Linked DNA regions of Rhinolophus ferrumequinum. The protein of the gene in region 2 purifies or fractionates together with the protein of the main gene of each other region. This does not show direct contact. Links are inferred from orthologs where the notes say so. Each region holds a gene or a part of one and is shown on either strand. Other genes may lie near its edges.

The links.
Region 1: the proteins of KCNQ1 (region 2) and AKAP9 purify together in Homo sapiens (affinity purification with western blotting; 3 studies listed by BioGRID and IntAct, with this or other methods). This does not show direct contact. The link is inferred for Rhinolophus ferrumequinum from reciprocal best matches to the Homo sapiens genes KCNQ1 and AKAP9.

Annotation. Positions count from the first base shown.
Region 1 is NC_046303.1:34,136,494-34,146,427, reverse strand, and holds the start of AKAP9 (A-kinase anchor protein 9), read left to right. Parts: upstream 1-5,569; 5' UTR 5,570-5,702; intron 5,703-6,499; 5' UTR 6,500-6,593; coding exon 6,594-6,653; intron 6,654-7,487; coding exon 7,488-7,685; intron 7,686-9,934. Other genes in the region: A-kinase anchor protein 9, read left to right, coding at 5,122-5,172. UniProt on the Homo sapiens protein: Scaffolding protein that assembles several protein kinases and phosphatases on the centrosome and Golgi apparatus. Required to maintain the integrity of the Golgi apparatus. Required for microtubule nucleation at the cis-side of the Golgi apparatus.
Region 2 is NC_046294.1:1,617,794-1,627,374, reverse strand, and holds the start of KCNQ1 (potassium voltage-gated channel subfamily KQT member 1), read right to left. Parts: upstream 4,607-9,581; 5' UTR 4,489-4,606; coding exon 4,157-4,488; intron 1-4,156. UniProt on the Homo sapiens protein: Pore-forming subunit of the voltage-gated potassium (Kv) channel involved in the regulation of cardiomyocyte excitability and important in normal development and functions of myocardium, inner ear, stomach and colon.

The DNA.
Region 1 (9,934 bases), on a different chromosome or scaffold from region 2:
ATATGATTGTTACTTCTTTGGTCCAAATTTGAGGATGTGGAAAACTATTTGTTACTCTGAATGATTCAGTAACTCTGTTTTCCATAAGTTTTGATGTATTGTAGGTTTCTAATAGAAAAAGAAAACTTCATGTTCTTAAATTTCTGTTTTGGATAACTAATGGGAGTAAAAACTTGAACAATTCAAAAATTTAATGTGTTTAAAAGCTGGGAATATACTTATGAGTAATCTGGACAGGGAAATAAATACTGTGTTTTCCCGAAAATAAGACCTAGCCGGACAATCAGCTCTAATGCATCTTTTGGAGCAAAAATTAATAGAAGACCTGTTATTATATTATATTATATTATATTATATTATATTATATTATATCATATCATATCATGTTATACCCGGTCTTACAGTAAAATAAGACCAGGTCTTATATTAATTTTTGCTCCAAAAGACGCATTAGAGCTGATTGTCCGGCTAGGTCTTATTTTTGGGGAAACAGTAAAAAACAAACAAATAAATAAATAGGTGCCCGATTTAGGCTCCCTAAAGTTGCCTCTATGGGAAGTATCTCAATTTAAAAATTACAGCGTGCAGTTCATAGAATCTGCCCTTGTGATTTGAAATGTGTGGTTTATAATGAAAACACTGCTTTTTTGTTTCTATACAATGCCTCAATTCTTAAAGCTTGTCTTTCTTGATTGGAAGTTTCAAGTGCTTGAACTAGCTGTGTGTTTGGGGTACCCCACAGTGCATTTTTTCCTTTACCCCAAAGTGAACTTTTTATAAGCCAGATGGCTACAGGTCAGACCATCTCATACACGCCTATGAAATCTGGTTAAAATTTCATAGCCATTTGCTCACTTTGAGATAAAAGACTAAAATTTAATTTTCATTACGATTTGAAAGCTAAAGACATCAAAAAACTGAATTTTCATGTTCTCTTTATGCAAATATGAAGTAATAATATTGGCGATTCTGTTATAATAAGATACTTTTCACCTAAATTTTTTAATTTAAAAAGCTGGTGGGAATTATGAGGTCCAGAAAAATACATTGCAACTATATATCTGTGATACCTACTTAAATACGATGTGTTTCAAAGTAAGGTACACATAGTATTTAAATATAAGTCCTATAAATAAAAGTTAGTACATACAGACTGTGGTTCAACTATAAGAAATGTATTTTACATATATGTGTTTAATTTTGTATATTTGTATAGTTACATATAGGGGACTTCTCAGCTATGTTCACCTTTTCAGGAGGCAGAAGAATCATCAGTAGATCAAATGTGTAAACCAAGGAATAAATCTCAGACTATAATACTTGTCATATTGTAATTCTTAAGGAATTATCTTTCAGTAACATCCCCCCAAAATGAAATTCCTTTCTAGGCAACACATACTGTATTTTATAAGTTCACCACAAAATGCCAGATTTGCAGTTTATTAATTTTGCATTTATGTAAATTTTGTATTTGCATATCTGGTTTGCATTTGAATATTTTACAATTTAAAAATTACATAGTTTTAATCATAGGCTACATACGTATCTTGTATTTTGCCTAAATATCACTGTCATTTTTCTGGGACTTATTTAGGGAAATAAGGTGATAGAAAAGAGTAGGGGCTTTGGATCCAGAAAGACCTGTGTTCAAATCGCAGCTTCATCACCTCTGAGCTGAATTTGGGCACTTAAATCACTTAAATTCTGAAACAGTTTCCTTTCCTGTAAAATGGGAGTACTAATACTACCTTACAGGGTAGGTATGAGGGTTATTTGATAGTATCTAGTATGGTGTTTGGTATATAAAAAATAATTAGCAAAGCCTCTTTTTTTGTTGTTTTTACTCTTTTCAGTAGAAATATGCTTTTCACACTAAAGTGTATATGAAACAAGTGAGTGATAAGAATTCTTTTAACACATTCTCAGAAGGATTTCAGATTCTGATTATATGTTTAGTTAGAACTCAGTTTAGAAATTTACATATATAAATATGGTGTGTGCTTAATATTCTTGACTTCTGTGGCTAGTATACTTTTTGGATTGAAAAATGTACTCAGGCCTAGGGAAAAATGAGATAATTTTATCCTATGACCTACCTTTGATCTGTTCTGTATAAATATACTCATATATCCAATTACACGTGTATATTAGGGAAATCAGATTAAATTAAAAGGTACTGTTTTATGAATTAATTTACATTATACATGATCTGTTGAGTCCTTGATGAAAGGACATTTCATATCCAGAATGCCATATTTACATGAATTTTTAGAAAAAATTTTTAATTGGGGAACAGTGTGTTTTTCCAGGACCCATCAGCTCCATGTGAAGTCATTGTTTTCAGTCTAGTTGTGGAGGGTGCAGCTCAGCTCCAGGTCAAGTTGTTTTCAGTCAGGTTGTGGAGGGCTCAGTTCACTGGGCCATGTGGGAATCGAACCAGCGACCTTGGTGTTATGAGCACTGGGCTCTAACCATTGAGCCAACCGGCCGCCCCTACATGAAATATTTTTATTGATACCCATTGATCAGTTATTTGTAGAAAGTGGGGAGTGCTTCAGGCATCATAGAGACAAGACAGTTAAATAAATGAATATGGTTTGCTATGTATAGACAGCTGAAATGTTAGGGCGTACAATTTCATTACGGATGTCATCTGATTATTTAATATTTCCTAACAAAGGTGCTTGTATGATATATGACATTTATGTAATTACTGGCTGGAGTTAGAGACAGTCTAAAGCCATAAAGTAATGCAAACTTAGCTTTTCAACTTTCACTTGTTATTTTGTTTGTTTTGTTTTACTTCATCTGATTTTCTTTTCTGCCTCAGCTTTGTTGAGATATAATTGGCAATTAAAAATGTTGTGTATATTTATGATATATAGAGTGGTAATTGATATTCAACTTTGACTTTAAATGTATGATCTTAACTTCATTAGTTACTTGGCTCCAATTCCATGAGTCAGCTAGGACTTGAACTCCTGTAATTTTTATGAACTTTTATGACCCATCATATCCTTCCTATTTTTTATTAAAACATCCATTGTTGTTTCTTAATGTTTGCAGTACCAAATTAAGTATAAGGATAAGATATTAATCATAAATAAAGAGTTGAGTGAGTTAGGTTTTAAATTAGTGTTCACTGAAAGGAAAAGTTTTATGTGAAGGCCATTTTATAGTTTTAAAATAAAAATTATTCCTTTGATTCCTTCTGAATAGTAGTATAGTATTTTTACGAGATGATACTTAACCTCTGCAGAACATTTTAAAATTAAAATGTACCTCACTTGTACTTTCCCAAATCTTGAAGTTGTCTATACAGATTAAGTAAATCTGTGAATTCAGAAAATATATGGGAATAGACTAAAGGTTAATAACTGTGGACAAGTGCCACAGTAAAAAAGAACATTAAGAGAAGTTGATCTTCTTTGCAGTTAATGGAATCTATTAATCTAATTTTACATGTTTCAAGTTACTAATTTTCTTTCACATTATGGTTACCAAGTATAGTGTTAGAAAGCTAATAATGCAAAAATAAGAGATAAATGCTTTACCCTTAGGTATCAGTAAAATCATTATTGCATTAAAAAATAGAATAATTTATTGCTAAATATTAATGGTCCTAATATTGTGTTGATTATGCGTGTTTTTATTCTAACTTTGAAATATGGTTTGTTTTAGTTTAGTTCTGGTGAATAATCATTTATTACTTATTTACATGATATTGAATCTTTAAAATTTATTAATATTGACAAGATTTTTATATTTATTATAACATAATTAAGTTTTGAAAACAGTTGCGTAGTATTTTAAGTTTATGTGTGTGAGTTAGTCTAGTGTAAAATTTGATTAAATTAGTGAGAAATTAAGCTAATGTTGGCTATATAATGTGTTAGATACAATTAATCATAGTTAACTAATTATGTTACAGTGATATCATCCATTGCTTAATATTATATTTGAAGACATAAAATCCATTTGTTACACTGTACTATAAAGTAAAATTTTAAGACACTTATTAAAATGCATCATTTCAGAATTAAGAAAAGCTAATTGAAATTTAGGAGTATTTAATTTGAAAGTTATTGCAAGTGACTCGGTATTAATAATCTGATAGAGGTAGTACTCCTGTTTTCTGATAACTTTCACAGATTTCAGTATTGTGTTGCCATAAAGGCGAAAAGTTTTTTTGTTTTTTGTTTTTTTACTTTAGCTTTGTTTTTCAGAAATTAGGGGAAAAAACCCCAAAGGAATCGAACTCTGATAAAGAACTCTTGATTAGGATCTTCATTTTTAAAAGTGTTGTGGTCCATATGGATCTAATTCTAATTCTGGGATACTCTACCTTACGTATTTCAACAGTAAAAACATCATTATCTTGTATTCTATTAACATAGAATTGTGAATAATTAACATGTGAGGAGGAGTGAAGTTCCTTTGTATACTCTTGCTGGTAGGAAGAGGAGGTTGTTAAATAGATTAATTGATCTAAAATTAGTCTCACACCAGGTCAACCCTGCAAACATATTGTATCAGTCATTCTTCCTCCACAAAATGCCTGAGCTAGAGACCGGCTGTAATATATTATAGAAAATGTCCACATTGGTCAGGGTTGATACGTATAATAGTACTACCCCCAGGTGAAAGTTTGAGGGAGTGTTCCTCACTTTTTCATCTCCTCCTACAACTTGACCTGCTTGCCAACCTTCAATTAATTTGTACCAGTAAACAGTTTGACTTTAAAATTAATAGGACTTAATTAAAAAAACCAATTATTTAAATGATTTTAAGGCAATATTTTGTAGAAGAGGATCCAGTAACTTGAAGTTTATAGTTATCCTTCTGAAGACAAAATAGAAACTACACTTAGAACTTTAGATCACTTAAAGATAATGTATACTACAGTGTCTTTTGGATTGTAAGCACTCAAATGTTTGAGGAATGATTGGCATTTGAAATGGTCATAATGTCTTTTAGATAAACACTATATCTGTTTCTGCCAATGTGACATTTTCCTTAGGCGTAAAAGAGGCATGAATACAGTTAGCTGGTATATAATTATTAGCTTTAAATAAAATTCTGTTTAAAATCATAATATATCAGGAAATTGTTTTTATACAGGTAAATGGTTGCAGTTTTGTGGTGGGAGCAGAAAAGCCTACAAATTATTAAGGGTATAGTATTAAAACTACTTATGATACTAATGTTTTATATTATTTAAAACCATCTGGCTTACTAACAAAGCTTTTTCCTGCATGTATTTCTTTCTGTGGGTGATGTTTAAATGCTTTAATGGTTTAACAAAACAAAATTATCTGCCTTTGTTGTAAAACTCAATTGTAACAGAATTTGCAGATAACTTGTTTTGCTCTTGAGGTACATAACACATTAACAACAATGGAGCTTGCCATACCAGTGAACTCCCAGGTGATGAGTGATGTTTTAAAGTGGACTTGGCTTTGAATATTTGACTAATTCTTCCTGCGGAGTGTTGTTTGTACTGAATTATTCAAAATCTTGGATTGATTTAGGAAGAAGAATTTGGTGTTGATGATTCTTACTTGGAACATGGAGCACAATACAATCAGACCCAACTAGAGATGATGGAAAATGAATTGGTTGGCAAACAGCATGATATTGAAGAACTAAACAGAGAACTGGAAGAAATGAGGGCCACCTATGGGACTGAAGGACTGCAGCAAGTATGTTTACCTTATGTGTCTTGTTACTCACAAAAACAAAAATAGGAAATTTGAATGATAGTGTACGTACATTCTTTAAAGATGGGGTTTTTAAATGGTAACTTAAGGTCAGCTGATGATACTTGTCCTTATGTGTATATCAAAACCACGTTCTTTAAAACTAGGATTTCATTAACAGGTCTAATAAAACGTGGACTCTTTTATTTTACATTATGGGATAGGTAGGTTGAAATCACTTTAGTAGAATAGACGTTTTTGTAATCAACCTGCGAGAAAATTATTGTGCAAACCACATCAAAATACGATGATTTAAACTCATTAAAAATGTCAGCGAGTCCTTATAAGTGACCACTTGTGGTTAAAGTGACGTGTTGTTTGTCGCAGTCAGTTATGAAAACAAGATGAAATAGGACGTCGATGAGGATGACAAAACGCATTTCACTTTTACCCTCTCCAGAAATGAGTGAGATTTAACTTGTCTATGACGGTGTTGCCCAGGAACAGATGGAAGCATCCCTGAATATAAAGGCACTGTCCTTCTAGCAGTAGATATATGGATAAGTCAGACCTAATATGTTTTGTTTCTAAGTTCAGATAATTTTTTAAAGGTTGATTTGGAAGTAAAACCAATTCCTGCAAGCTAATAGCTTTCAAATGTGAATAAGGTTGCTTACAAATTGTAATGATTCTGCCAATGAGTTGTGAATATCATATTTTTGAAGAACAGTTACCTATAATAATGATTGATTTGTTAAAAAATAGAAGTTTAGCACTTACTATTCATCGGTGTTTTTTAGTTACAAGAATTGAAGCAGCCATTAAACAAAGAGATGGCATCATAACCCAGCTTACTGCTAATTTACAACAAGCAAGAAGAGAAAGGATGAGACAATGAGAGAATTTTTAGAGTTGACAGAACAAAGTCAAAAATTACAGATTCAATTTCAGCATGTAAGTATTAGTAGTAGAATTTATTAGATTTTTAGAAAGGAATTAATTTTTTTTCACACTTTCCACTACCATTTTAAATTTGTTTAAAACCATTTGCTTATTTCATATTATGTTTGGAAAACTAGTTAATACCTCTTGTTATATTATCCAAGACTTTAATTCATATTTTTTGCATGGTTTCTTTCTTTGTATTTTGAAATCCTACAAAACCTTATAAGTCTGATTGAGTGTAGATTTGCAGAAATTAACATGTAGTCACATCCTACCTTTGCCAACCCTGGTATGATTTTATTTTAGAGTCTGAAATGGTAACTAGACTGAATATAGTCCATTTACCTTTAATTAGAGCCCTAAGAGTCTAATTGTATTAATCAAGGTTTCTGATTGGGAGTAACAGAAAATAAATTGAGATAGCTTAAGCAAAAGGGAGGAATTTAATATAAGGATACAGGCTTATCTTAATAGAATTCAAGGCAGAAATACCACCACGCCTCTGAAATGGACTGGGATCAGAAACTGGAAAGTCCTCAGGAATCCAGGAAGTATTGCCTTTCAGGCCCCATTTCTTTCAGTATGTCTGTCTCAGTGTTACCTCTCTCACTAGACTACTTTCTCTGCTTGATCATGGGAAAGATAGTCTTATTGGTTCAGTTTGGGTAACATGCCCACACTCATCTGGTCAGCCATGGCAGTAGTTTGATGGGGTCTCAAGCCTGTAAATTCAGCACAGTTCCCAGAGAGCATTTGTGAGCCAACTAATACCCCAAAAGATGTCTATTCCTTAGTGCCGTCACTGCAGAATTTAATACCTTGTGATTTCTTTCTGTTTTCAAGTTACAAGCTAGTGAAATGCTGAGAAACAGCTCTCATAGTAGCACAGCTGCAGATTTACTACAAGCCAAACAACAGATTCTTACTCATCAGCAGCAGCTAGAAGAACAAGACCATCTATTAGAAGATTATCAGAAAAAGAAGGAAGACTTCAAATTGCAAATCAGTTTTTTGCAAGAGAAAATTAAAGCGTATGAAATGGTATGTTTATTTTAAAGAAGTCAGCCAACTTGCAGCAGCTTTACAATTAACTTTAAAGTTTTGTAGGTAAATATTTATCTTGTTATGTACATGAATCACAAAATTTTGTAATTCAGAAAAGCTCTTTAAGTTTCTAAAATTTATTTCAAAGCAATTAGGAATCTTATAATAAAAATTTTTAAGTTAATACTCGTTACTGAGTTCCTTGAAAATGACCGGCCTATGTTAAATTGAGTTTTCAGGAGAATCTAAATTTATAACCAGAATTTCTGTCCTTTTTTTTTTTTTCCCCATCTAAAGGTATTTCTACTCATTTTAAGGGTGGCTGGCTAGCTCAGTTGGTTAGAGCCTGATGCTAATAACACGAAGGTTGCCGGTTCCATCCCATCATGGGCCAGTGTGAGCTGCGCCCTCCTTAAAAAAAAAAATAAATAAATAAAGGTATTTCTACTCATTTTAGATATGGTTATGAAATTCTGAAAATATTTTCATAACAGAATGAAATTATATGGATTTTTTTTTTTATGGATTTTAATTAGAAAAAAATACAGTTCTCATTGTCCATGGTACCGTGTTTCTCCGAAAATAAGACCTAGCGGGACCATCAACTCTAATGCGTCTTTTGGAGCAAAGATTAATATAAGACCCGGTCTTATTTTACTATAAGACCAGGTATAATATATAATATAATATAATACCGGATTTTATATTAATTTTTGCTCCAAAAGACCATTAGAGCTGATTGTCTGGCTAGGTCTTATTTTTGGGGAAAAGGTAATTATATTTTATATAGTTGCCTGGGACAACTATTTAGCAAATAAGTACTCTTTGGGGATACACACATATACATAACAGATTATAGTCTTAAATCCTAAAAACAGCTCATGCTGGTAGATTATATTTTGTTTACTTTTCAAAAGAGAAAGTGAGGTTCAGAAGTGCTAAGTGACTTGCCTGAGGCCACCCCAGTTACCAGAGTTGGGATTCAAACCCAGTCTAACTGGCCCAGGGTCAGAATTTCTTGCACTGCAGGGTCTCTGTCCTCTCAGCACGAGAGCTGAAACAGGAGGGCAGCCTTGTTTGTCGTCAGCCAGAAATACACGTGTCTATCACCTCAAGGATTTTGACACTCCGTGCACTTCTGAAAATGGCTGCAAGTACTGATTTTGGGGTTAAAAATCAATTTTAGCAGGTAGGTGAATTTGCAAATACAGACTTTGTGAATAACAAGGACAGACTATACATATAACAGTACTTTTTATAAACTTAGGAGGGTCTTCTGAAAGAGGTTGAGTTACCAAGACGAGTATTATATAAAAGTGTTAGCTAGCATTTATTTATTTTTATTTTTTAAGATTTTATTGGGGAAGGGGAACAGGACTTTTATTGGGGAACAGTGTGTACTTCCAGGACGTTTTCCAAGTCACGTTGTTGTCCTTTCAGTCTTAGTTGTGGAGGGTGCAGCTCAGCTCCAGATCCAGTTGCCGTTGCTAGTTGCAGGGGGCGCTGCCCAACATCCCTTGTGGGACTCAAGGAATTGAACTAGCAACCTTGTGGTTGAGGGGATGCGCTCCAACCAACTGAGCCATCTGGGAGGCAGCTCAGCTCAAGGTGCCGTGTTCAATCTTAGTTGCAGGGGGCGCTGCCCACCATCCCTTGCGGTACTCGAGGAGTTGAACCAGCAACCTTGTGGTTGAGAGCCCAGTGGCTCATGTGGGAATCGTACCAGCAGCCTTGGGAGTTAGCAGCACAGAGCTCCAACCGCCTGAGCCACCGGGCCGGCCCAGCTAGCATTTATTTTTGTTCACTTGGTACTAGGCAGGATTCAAAGCATTTTACACATATTAACTCATTGACCCATTACAACAAATTTATGAGGCAGAGTTACCATTATCACCTCCCGTTTACAGATGAGGACACCAAGGCAAAGCAAGATGAAGCAATTTGCCAAAGTACATAGGTAATAAGTTGGTAGAACCAGATTTCAAATCTAGGTACTCTGACTTCAGATACTGCTCTTAGGAAAACAGGAAATACACAAATTTAAGGTATTGGAATTACGAAATGGACATACTTTACAACCAAGGTAATTTACAAATGATTATGTAGATGTTTATAAATACCTGTTTTGTAGCAGGCCTTTGCAGGATACAGTGATGCTTAAAATATGCCCTTTTCTTCGCTGGAACGCATGATTTAGCATGACATATACACAAAACAATAAAATGAGGATAAGTGTAGATAAAAGG
Region 2 (9,581 bases):
TCGGTGTCCGGGTCCCATCCCATCCCACACTCAGGCAGGCCACCCCATCAGCGTCCCGAGGCACCTTAGGTCTGTCCTCCCCAGGACCAAGCCCCCCGCCCCACTCCCTCCCAGCCCCGGGACACACTGCTGCGACATGTGAAGGTGCCAGTGCACGGGGACTGTTGACTAGAAAGGGGCCTCTCCCGTCCCTCCAGCGCCCTTGGCACCCCCTCGGGAGCTGGCAAAGACTTCTGACTGTGCCAGGCACAGGTGGTGACTGTCTCCCACCTGAGGAGATGCAGACTCGGAGGGCTCAGGGACCTGGCAAGGTGGCCCAGCCACGGGGCCACACTTGGACACGAAGCCCATCCCTGCCCATGTCTGAGCTCCATGCACCGTCCGGCCAGCCCCACGTCCTGCTCTACACACCCTCCTGACCCCAGGGACCTGAGTGCACGGCAGGAAAAGATCAGACAGCCTGCCCTCTGTATCCAGCCGCCACACCCCCCTCCGCTCTCCATGGGAGCCCACCCCACCTCCCGCCCAGCCAACTACTCTTCAGAGTCTGCTGAACTGCAGGACCCTCACACCACCGGGAGCCACCGGGTGGAGACATGTGGCCCATGGACTGGCCTCCACTTTTGGAAAGGCAGGCTTAGCCCAACAAACTGCCAGGGCCAGCTTCCAGCACCATCAATGATTAACACCTCTGTGAAGGTGCCGCCAAAGCCACCAGAAAGTTCTTGGGAACCAGGGAAAGGCAGTGGCAGGAGGGCGGGGACAGGTGGCACCAAGCCGAGTTTGAGAATCTAGCCCCATCTACTAAGCCCTGGGACCCGCTGGCAAACCCCTCTTCTCAGCCGGGTCTCCAAGTGTCTCCCAACCACAATGGACACTGACCACAGGCGGCACTGTGCGCTGCAGGAGGAAACTGAGGCACAGAGGAGGGGGCTCGCCCAGGGCAGACAGCCACAGCAGCAGCCTGGCTGGGGGAGTCCAGGCTACATGGGGAGGAGGGTGGGGGAGCAGCAGCTGAGAAAAGAGTATGCACCTGTCATCCTGCAGCTCCCAAGAGCCGCGGGAAGGGAGGGGAGAAGAGGGGGAGAAGGAGAAGTGGGAAGGATGGGGTTCCTGGGGGCTCCTATGACTGGAAACCCGTCACCAGCCAGAGGAGGGCTGAGGAGCCCTGGGGGCAGCCCTGATCCTGCCCTCCACAGGAAAGCAGGGCAGCGGCAGAGGCGGTTGCTATGGGAACCCTGGCTCCCTCTCCAGTGTGGGCACCCCTACCTGGTCACCCACCACTCCCCATCCCAGCTCAGGCCCATCAGCAGGGCTGCCAGGACTCTCCCCTGCCCTGTGCCCTCAGCTAGGGTGGGAGCTGCAGACGTGAAGGGCCTTGGAAGAGGATGGGGGGAGGGGCAGGAAGCCCAGTGGGCAGGGGCAGTGGCCAGAGCAACAGCGTCCTGCTCCCTGACCCCGGCAGACAGGCCAGGCCAGGGGCACACAGGATGGGGCAGGGGTTCCCCGATGACGAGGAGGGGCAGGATATCCTGGCTTGCTTCCCTCGCTGCGTCTGGGAGAGGGTGCCCAGCTCTGCAGGGCTGCCCAGACTGCGCTCCCACCTCCAAGCCCCACACTCACAAAGGGGCCCCTGCCCTTCAAGGCCAGGCTCAGCCTTCTCACCCAGAAACCCAGCCAGGCCCTGGGTGGCATATTTCACAACCCGACCCACCAAGGACAGCACTGTCTGCTATCTTGGCCGCGACTGAGAGAAACCTCAGGGCCAGAGTGGCTACCGTCCATCCCCTTCCACGGCTCCGACCGGTCAGGCACAGGCCACCCCTGCAACCCCAGATCAAAGGCCCAGGTCCCCTGGGAGAGTTCTGGGGCTCTGCTGACGTTCTGGAGAGGCTGGGAATGAAGGGGCACCTGCCCAGACCCCAGACAAGCTGCTCGCCCTGCCTGGCCAGGGTCTACCTCCACTGCCACCCTACACGGGGGAGCTGCGCAGGCATCCACTCCTCGGGGCCACGCACAGCTCTTACAGGACAGGGTCCACGGTGGCAAAAGGCTGACCCGAAGTCACACAGCCACCTTAGGAGCATCCCATTCCCGGCTCCCCCCACAGAGGGGCCACTCAGCCACTGCCCCGCCAGCTCCTGGGAGGCTGGGCAAAGGCACTGTACTGAGCAAACTTCCGAGAGCCAAACAATCAGAATCAGGAAGAAAACACAAGTGTAAGCAGAGACTTCCTCTGGGGTGCGGCAAGCCCTCTTCCTCCACGGCAGTGCTGTGGCCAGGAGCCGGGGCCACACTCGCCCGCCAGCCTGCATCCCCCAGATGGGAACCAGTGGGGTGCCGGGTGGCCCCTTTCCCTGGCAGGCCCCTGGGGGTAGGGGCGTTGCAGCACCCCTGGGCAGCCCACTGCCCACGCCTCCCACTGCCTGTGCTGGCATGGAAGATGCAGGACAGAAAGACAGCTGGCAGGGTCTACGGCAGGACCCAGCTGTGGGGTCCGCCCCACCCCTGGGCATCTCAGGGAGTTTGGGGCCCAGCAGGTGAGGGCTAGGAGGCAGGCAGCCCACGTGCACCACGGCACCCACAAGCCTGGCATTGGCCACGTGTTTGCACAGCAGCATTTGCACAGCAGCATTGGACTCAGGTGGGGTCCCTTGAGGTCATTGCACAGGAACATCCCCAGACAAGCCCCTGCTGCTGCAGCTGTGGGCAGGGCCGTCCTCGGCAACGGATGGGGCTCAGGTACCCTCTGGCGCTTCGGAAGGCTGGGCCAGGGCTGGGGAAGAGGCTTGAACCCGTGGCCCTTCCAGGCTTCTGGGGACATTGTTTCTGTCCCTCGTGCCAGGGAAGCTGGTCCCTCGCAGGAGGGAGGGCAGCAACCCTGGTACCACATGCACTCCTAGAGGAGCAAAGGTGGGAAGCTGAGGCCGCCTCACCTGCCCGAGATGATGCTCCAAGCCTTGGAGCCGGCAGGGCCTGGGTCCCCTTGCAGCCCTGGGGGCACCAGTGGAGAAACAGGGCTCTGATCACCCCCAGGTCTCTCCCAGCCTGAGGCCAGCCACAGCAGCAGGGACGGGCAGTGCCACTAGGAAGCCAGAGGGAGACCACCCCATGCAGCCCTCAGAGGAGCCCCGAGATCAGCCTGGGGACGGGATGACCAACTGAATGTTCACGGAACAGGCTGGCACCATATCAAGAGGCTGCTGGCCAGGCAGCCAGGAAGTAGGGCCACGAGATGTGGGGGACGGGCCCCCGGCAGGCAGCAAGGAGGGCGGCCCTGAGGAGGCAACGTCCTCCTGCCCCGTTCCTAAGCATCGGAGCGCCATGCCCTGGCCCACGCAAGCAAGCCTTTCTGGGGACTGGAGCCAGCTGGGTAACCAGCAGCAGGAGCCAGGTGCTGCCCATAGGGCCCTGCTTTCTCCGGGTACGTAGCTTCCTCTGACGGACAGCCAGAAACCAGCCTCCTCCAGTCTCCTCTGTCTCAGCCCGAGTGTTCATGAGTTTGACTCCTTGTGGGCACTCGCCACCGCCATGCTGACCCCTCCGGGCACACACCAGGCCTGCCACCCTCCAGGGCAGCCTTTCCCCCACTGGCCCAGGAGACCGCTCCCCACAGGGCCTGCCTGGACCTGGGAGAGTCTCAGGTGTAGACGTCCAGTAAGGGCATGGGGCCTTCTCCTCTTGGGGCCCCTGAGTTGCCCGTGCCAGCTGACCCTGGGGAATTCTCTCCCCTGCACCCAAGGTTGTGCTCCCCTGGCTCACATCCTTTCCCCCAAGCATTAACACCTGGACTGCTCCTCCAGGGAGGAGTGGAGCCAACTTCTGGGCTGGTCACTCCTCGCCAGCTGGCTCCCCCCCACCCCCTCACACACACACCCTGCTTGGGCAGGGCCGGGGGAAGCCTGGCACCGCAGCCACAGGTGTCCCTCACAGGTCAGACCCGAGTCCCTGAACTTCAAGCAACAGGCTCCGCGTGGTTTCCCCATTAACCCCTTCCTTCCTTCCCTCCTTCACGGCTGCTCCGAGTCACACCCAGCTTGGATACAGTCCTGGCGGCGGCAGGTGGCGGGGACACAGCGCTCCCCCTACTCCCTCCCCCCTCCCCGGCCGCGGAAGAAGCCCCTCGGGGCTCGGCCTCGCCGGAGGCGATACTCACACGGCGAAGTGGTAGACGAAGCACTTCCAGCCGGTGGGGCGCTCCAGGAAGTTGTAGACGCGGCCCTGGATGTGGGTGCGCGCGAGCAACGGGCGGCGCGCGCTGTAGATGGAGACGCGCGGGTCGAGGCTCACGGGCGGCCGCGGGCCAAGGTCGGCGGCGGGCGGCGCGGCGGGCGCGTAGAGCGCGCCGCCCGCCGGGCGCTCCTCAGCCAGCTCCAGCGAGAAGGGGGACTTCTTGGCCAGGCCCGCACTGCCCCTGCGGGCGCCCGGCAGACGGCCCCAGCCCCAGCGCTTCCTCTCGGCCCGGGGCGGCGATGAGGCCGCGGCCATGGCCAGGCAGGGCTGGCGGGGGCCGGCCGGGAGGCGGCACCCGGAGCTGCAGCGAAGGCGGGAGCCCAGGTGCAGTGCGGGCAGCCGCTGCTGCCACCCCAGCCACGGGGGGCCGCTGCCTGCCCAGCCCGGGCGTGGGGGTGGGGCCTGAAGGGGGCGGTGGCCGCCGGCCGGTCCCCGGGGACAGCGCGCTCCGCCCAGGGCCAGAAGCCCCGCCCCCGGGCAACCGGCGAGCTTGGGGAGCCCCAGCCCGAGCCCAACCGCGCACCTGCTTGGTCCTGCCCCGTCTGCACCCACCTGTGCGGCCCGCCCCTTTCGCATTCACCGGCTTGGCCGCGCCCTCTCCCACGTGCTCGGCCCCATCTACGCCCACGTGCTCGGCCCGCAAGCCGACCTGCTTGGCCCCACCTGTGCCCACCTGATTTGGCCCGCGCGGAGCACCCAGCTGAGCCAGAAAGAAAAGCGCGGGGCCCGCAGGTGCAGCGACAGCGAACCGCGCGGCCCGGGCAGTAGGGCTGCATAGGGCGCATGAGACCCACTTCACGCCCTCTGTGCCTCCCCAGAGAGGGGGACAGGGAAAAGAGGAGGGAGGGGCGCAGTGGGACACGCGCAGACTGACCCTCTTGGCACCTGGACGATGGAGTGTTAGCCCCGCGAACACTTTGAGCGCCCCCTGGGTGCTGGGTGGGGGGGCACGCTGCCGGCGAAAAGGAATGCAGTCTCCGCGGTGTCCACTAGGGTTGTCGGACCCTGGAGGCAAGGGGGAGCCATCAATCAGGGACCGCCCAGTGGGAGCCGTAGAAGAGCAGAGGATGCAGGGACCGCTGGAAACAGCAAGGCCTGGTTCTGGACCCGGCAGAGCAGGCCCGGCTGTCTGGGCAGCTAGAGGGGAGGCATTTGTGCCACCCTAGGGGCATGCGTGTTTTGTCCTCCTGGCCTGAGGGGGCTGCCGCTGCGTCCTGTGTGCTTCCCTGGGTGGGGGTGGGGGCAGAGGTGGGTGATGAAGTCAGTGGTTTGTGTGGATCCCCTATACTGCCTCCAGCCATCGTTGCACTGGCGTTTGGGTCACTGCACATTAAATGGGCGCCAGGGCGAAGGATGGGATAACACACAGAACAAAAACAGACTCTCTGGAGACATTGTCCTAGGCAGAGGGGTAACCACCCCCAGCCATGTCAGGGTCCCATAACTTGGGAGACGCTTCCCAGGTCTTCACTGAGCAACCTGGGCTGATTTATTTAACGTACCCCCCAGCAGAAAGTCAGCTCTTGACGGTGGACAGAGTGCAGCCCCCACCCTTTTCCCTGACTCCCCCCACCTTGGATGGTGCCTGCAGTGAGTGCAGTTTGTACAGGCAGAGAGAATGAAGTGGGTCGCAGCCTGTGCCAGGCACCAGGGAACCTCGGCCACTGCAGCTAGGGAACCTTGCTGGGAGGTGTTTCGGTTAGGACACAAATGGGCAGAGAACCAGAAGGAGGCAGAGTCCACCCCCACAGGGCCCCAGGGGGACACTCAGGCACACAGCAGGCTTTCATTCAGGCAGTTCTTTCGGGATGAATGCATACATGAAGGAACAGTGTCTACACACCCACTTCCCAGTCAGCAGGAGGAAGATGAACTTTTAATAGGCAGCATTAGGACAACTGGAGAGCCACAGAGAAAGAAAATACAGGTACAGTTGATCCATCTTCCACACAACGCACAAGAATAAATTTCGAACAAATGACAGGCTTAAGTATAAACATTGAAATGAAGCCATGCTGACTCTACAAGAAAGCAGGGCTGAATTCCTCAACAAACTGGAGTAGGGAATCCGTTCCCGACAGTCAGAAATCCAGAGGGAATAGCTGAAATCAGCAAAGTAAAACAGGCAATGACCAACTGACAGCGTTTGTAGTTTATTTTACATCACAGGCAAAGGATTAGTAACACTGATACATAAAGAACATCTAAAACCAAGAAGAAAATGACAGACCGCCTTATAGGGCACAAGGCAGGGATGGCTCATAGGAAAAGGAGATCCTGACCTTTGCACTTAGGGAAAGATGTCCAACATCACACACAACAAGAAAAATGCACGTTGAGAGGATACTGTAGGACCATTGCTCACCTACTGTGTTTCCCCGAAAATAAGCCCTAGCCGGACAATCAGCCCTCATGCGTCTTTTGGAGCAAAAATTAATGTAAGACCCAGTCTTATATTATATAAGACCCGGACTTATAGTAAAATAGGACCGAGTCTTATATTAATTTTTGCTCCAAAAGACGTGTTAGAGCTGATTGTCCAGCTGGGTCTCATTTTCAGGGAAACACAGTATCTGGGGTAGGTCCAGGTGTTTGACTGAGAGCTCCATGGGTGAGGCAGGCCTTGGGAAAACAGATGTGCTCGAGGGTCACCTGTGGGAAGGGCGTCCTGGTCCTACCAGCAAAAGCGCAGGTACCATTGGACCCAGCCAGTTAGTTCCACTTGTCGGAATTGACCCAAAGATATGAGGAAAAATTGAAAACAGTATACACGTAAGGTTATTCATTGTGACATTATTTACATATTAGCAAAAGGTTAGAAACAACCAGAACACCCCTCAAATGGGTGAACTATGCTATGTAACATATTATCAGCACAATCACGAACATTCAAAGGACAAAAGGACCCCCAAGAATCCTTTTGTAATATTAATTACAAAAATTTAATTTAATTAATTAATTAAAAAGTAATATTATTACTGTTTGTAATAATATTAGTAACGTTATATTGAAATTACATGTACATATATCATGTTAAATTCTTTAGCAACTAAGGTTGTCAGCACAAGAGAAAAGAGATACCAATATAAAATCACAGAAATAGGAACTAATTCTGAAATTGGAATTGGGAATATGAGCAAAAACTCCTCAGCTATTTTATCTTGAAACAAAATTACTTTCTGGCTCTGTCCACTGAAAAATTTTAGGAGGGGCTGATCAGCAAGAGGACAATTTGTGCATCAAAAAGAATTATAGATTAAAACATATCAAATATCTTAAAAACCCATTAATTCATAATCATGCCAAAAAATTCTAATGGGCCCTTTGTTAGTGACTGGGGCTCATTAGTCTGAAAACTAGCTGAAAAGGGCACATTGTCAAGTGTTTATCCTGCCTTCCCTGTCTGAAGAAGCCACACTCATTATGTGATGTCGAGGGAATTGCTCTGAAAAAATCCACAGGGAGGGGCCCAGAGTCGGGGTGGAGATTAAACCAACCGGCCACTGAATTGGTCATTGTTGAATCCATCGCTGTTGAGCCGGTGGTGAATACAATCGTGATACTGTGTGCTTCACTTCTGTGTATGTTTCCATATTTAAAAAATTATAACAAGTAACCACCCAAGCACCTGGGGGGTGGGGCTTTGGGGGGATGGGGTCTGAGCTGTGCAGGAGCCTGCTCTGGGAATCCTGGCCCCACTGGCCTGGGGACATTGGGGTGGATGAGAGGCTGAAAAGGGGTCTCTTGGAGCTCCCTACAAGCTCAGAGGAGCTGGTGGGGGTCCTGGGGAAGGACAGGACCATGGGCTGAGGGGTGAGAGCTGAGAGGAGGGAGGCCAGGTTCACAGGGGCTGTGACGTGGGCCTGGGGCTGCACTGGGCTCAGGGAAGGAAGGGCCCAGAGTGAAGGGGTGAAGACGGGGGGTGAGGGGGGTGGGGAGTGGGCGGAGCTGGTGCAGGGGTGGGCGAGGCCAGCCCACAGGAACAGGAAACACAAGCCAAGCCTGCTTACCTGGGGCAGGTGGGCCTGACCCAGCCCACTGGCTCACCAGCTACCCTCCAGTTTCTCCCTTTACTGAGGGGAGTCCCGCCTGCCCACAGCCCCCTCCCCAGGACCCGCACAGGGGCTCTGAGTCCACTCTAGGTGCACATGTCACACCCTGGGTCCTGGACACTGAGGCTGACAGACCTACCTGAGTCACCCCCTCCCTGCCTCTCAGGCCCATGGGCTGTCTCCAGGCCTGAGAACATTCTGGAAACACTGCACTATCCTTTCCTCAGTGGCCCTTTGCCAACACCCCTCTGCACACCATACCCACCCCACATTCTGTGGGGTCAGAGGCCAGCGGTGAGAGGAGCCTAGCTGCCCGGCCTGCAGAATCACCCACCCACACTCACCCCTCCCCGCCCAGGACCCAGGGTCCCGCTGGGCCACAGGGCGGTCGGGACTGTCCGCATGTTTTCTTTGGCCTGAGGTTAAGTCGGGTGACATTAACCCTTCCCGTGAGCAGGTCTCATGCTCCCCACTCTCTGAAGTTTTCAGAGAGCCTTGGGGCCCAGCCCAGCTGATAGGAAGCCCCCCGGACACTCTGTGGGGCTCAAGTTCAATTCTCCAAATAGAAGAGAAGATTTACGAAAGCGTGGGGCTGCTGGCACTTGCTGTGTGCAGCGGCTGGGGGTGGCTTCAGCGAAGGGCGTGTGGCCAGCACTGCAAGCACCCCGCGGTCCCCTCCAGTCACCTCCAGTCACCCCCCGCCCCACTGGCGCTGAGCCTCTTCCACCCCTTCCAAGCAGGTGTCTTGGGGACCAGCCCTGAGACTCCAAAGTCCCCTGGAGCCCGGTCGGATCTCCCGCAGGATCTCTGAGCAGCAGTCATTCTGTGCAGAAAAGTCAGGGTTGGGGTTCAGGGTCAGCTTCCAGCTGGCAGGGCCACCGTGCAATGTCTTTGCTGGGAATTTGCACCAACTAGTTGCATAACCAAGACATGGGTTTATTTTGACTACTAGTCTAATTGTCGTACGGATACATGGTCCAGTGCCCTCTTTGGTGAAATCACCCTCAAATGTGCCCCTTAGACACTCACCCTAATCCTGCAGGTTCCTGTGTGACCTGATATCCTGAAGTCAAGGCTTTCTACATCAGGCTGGACCCTCGGGCCCATGCCTGCCCAGCGTACGCTGGGGAGTAGGGACCAAGGCCAACACGCCCCAATTCTGATCACCAAGACCTGAGGCCCCCCCCAGCCCTCACAGGGCCCCCATCTGACAGAACACCTCACCACCCACCACCCATGGCCCTCAGCTAACCCTTCCAGGGAGCAGGCTGCCTCATGCCCCCAGGAGCCCAGGCA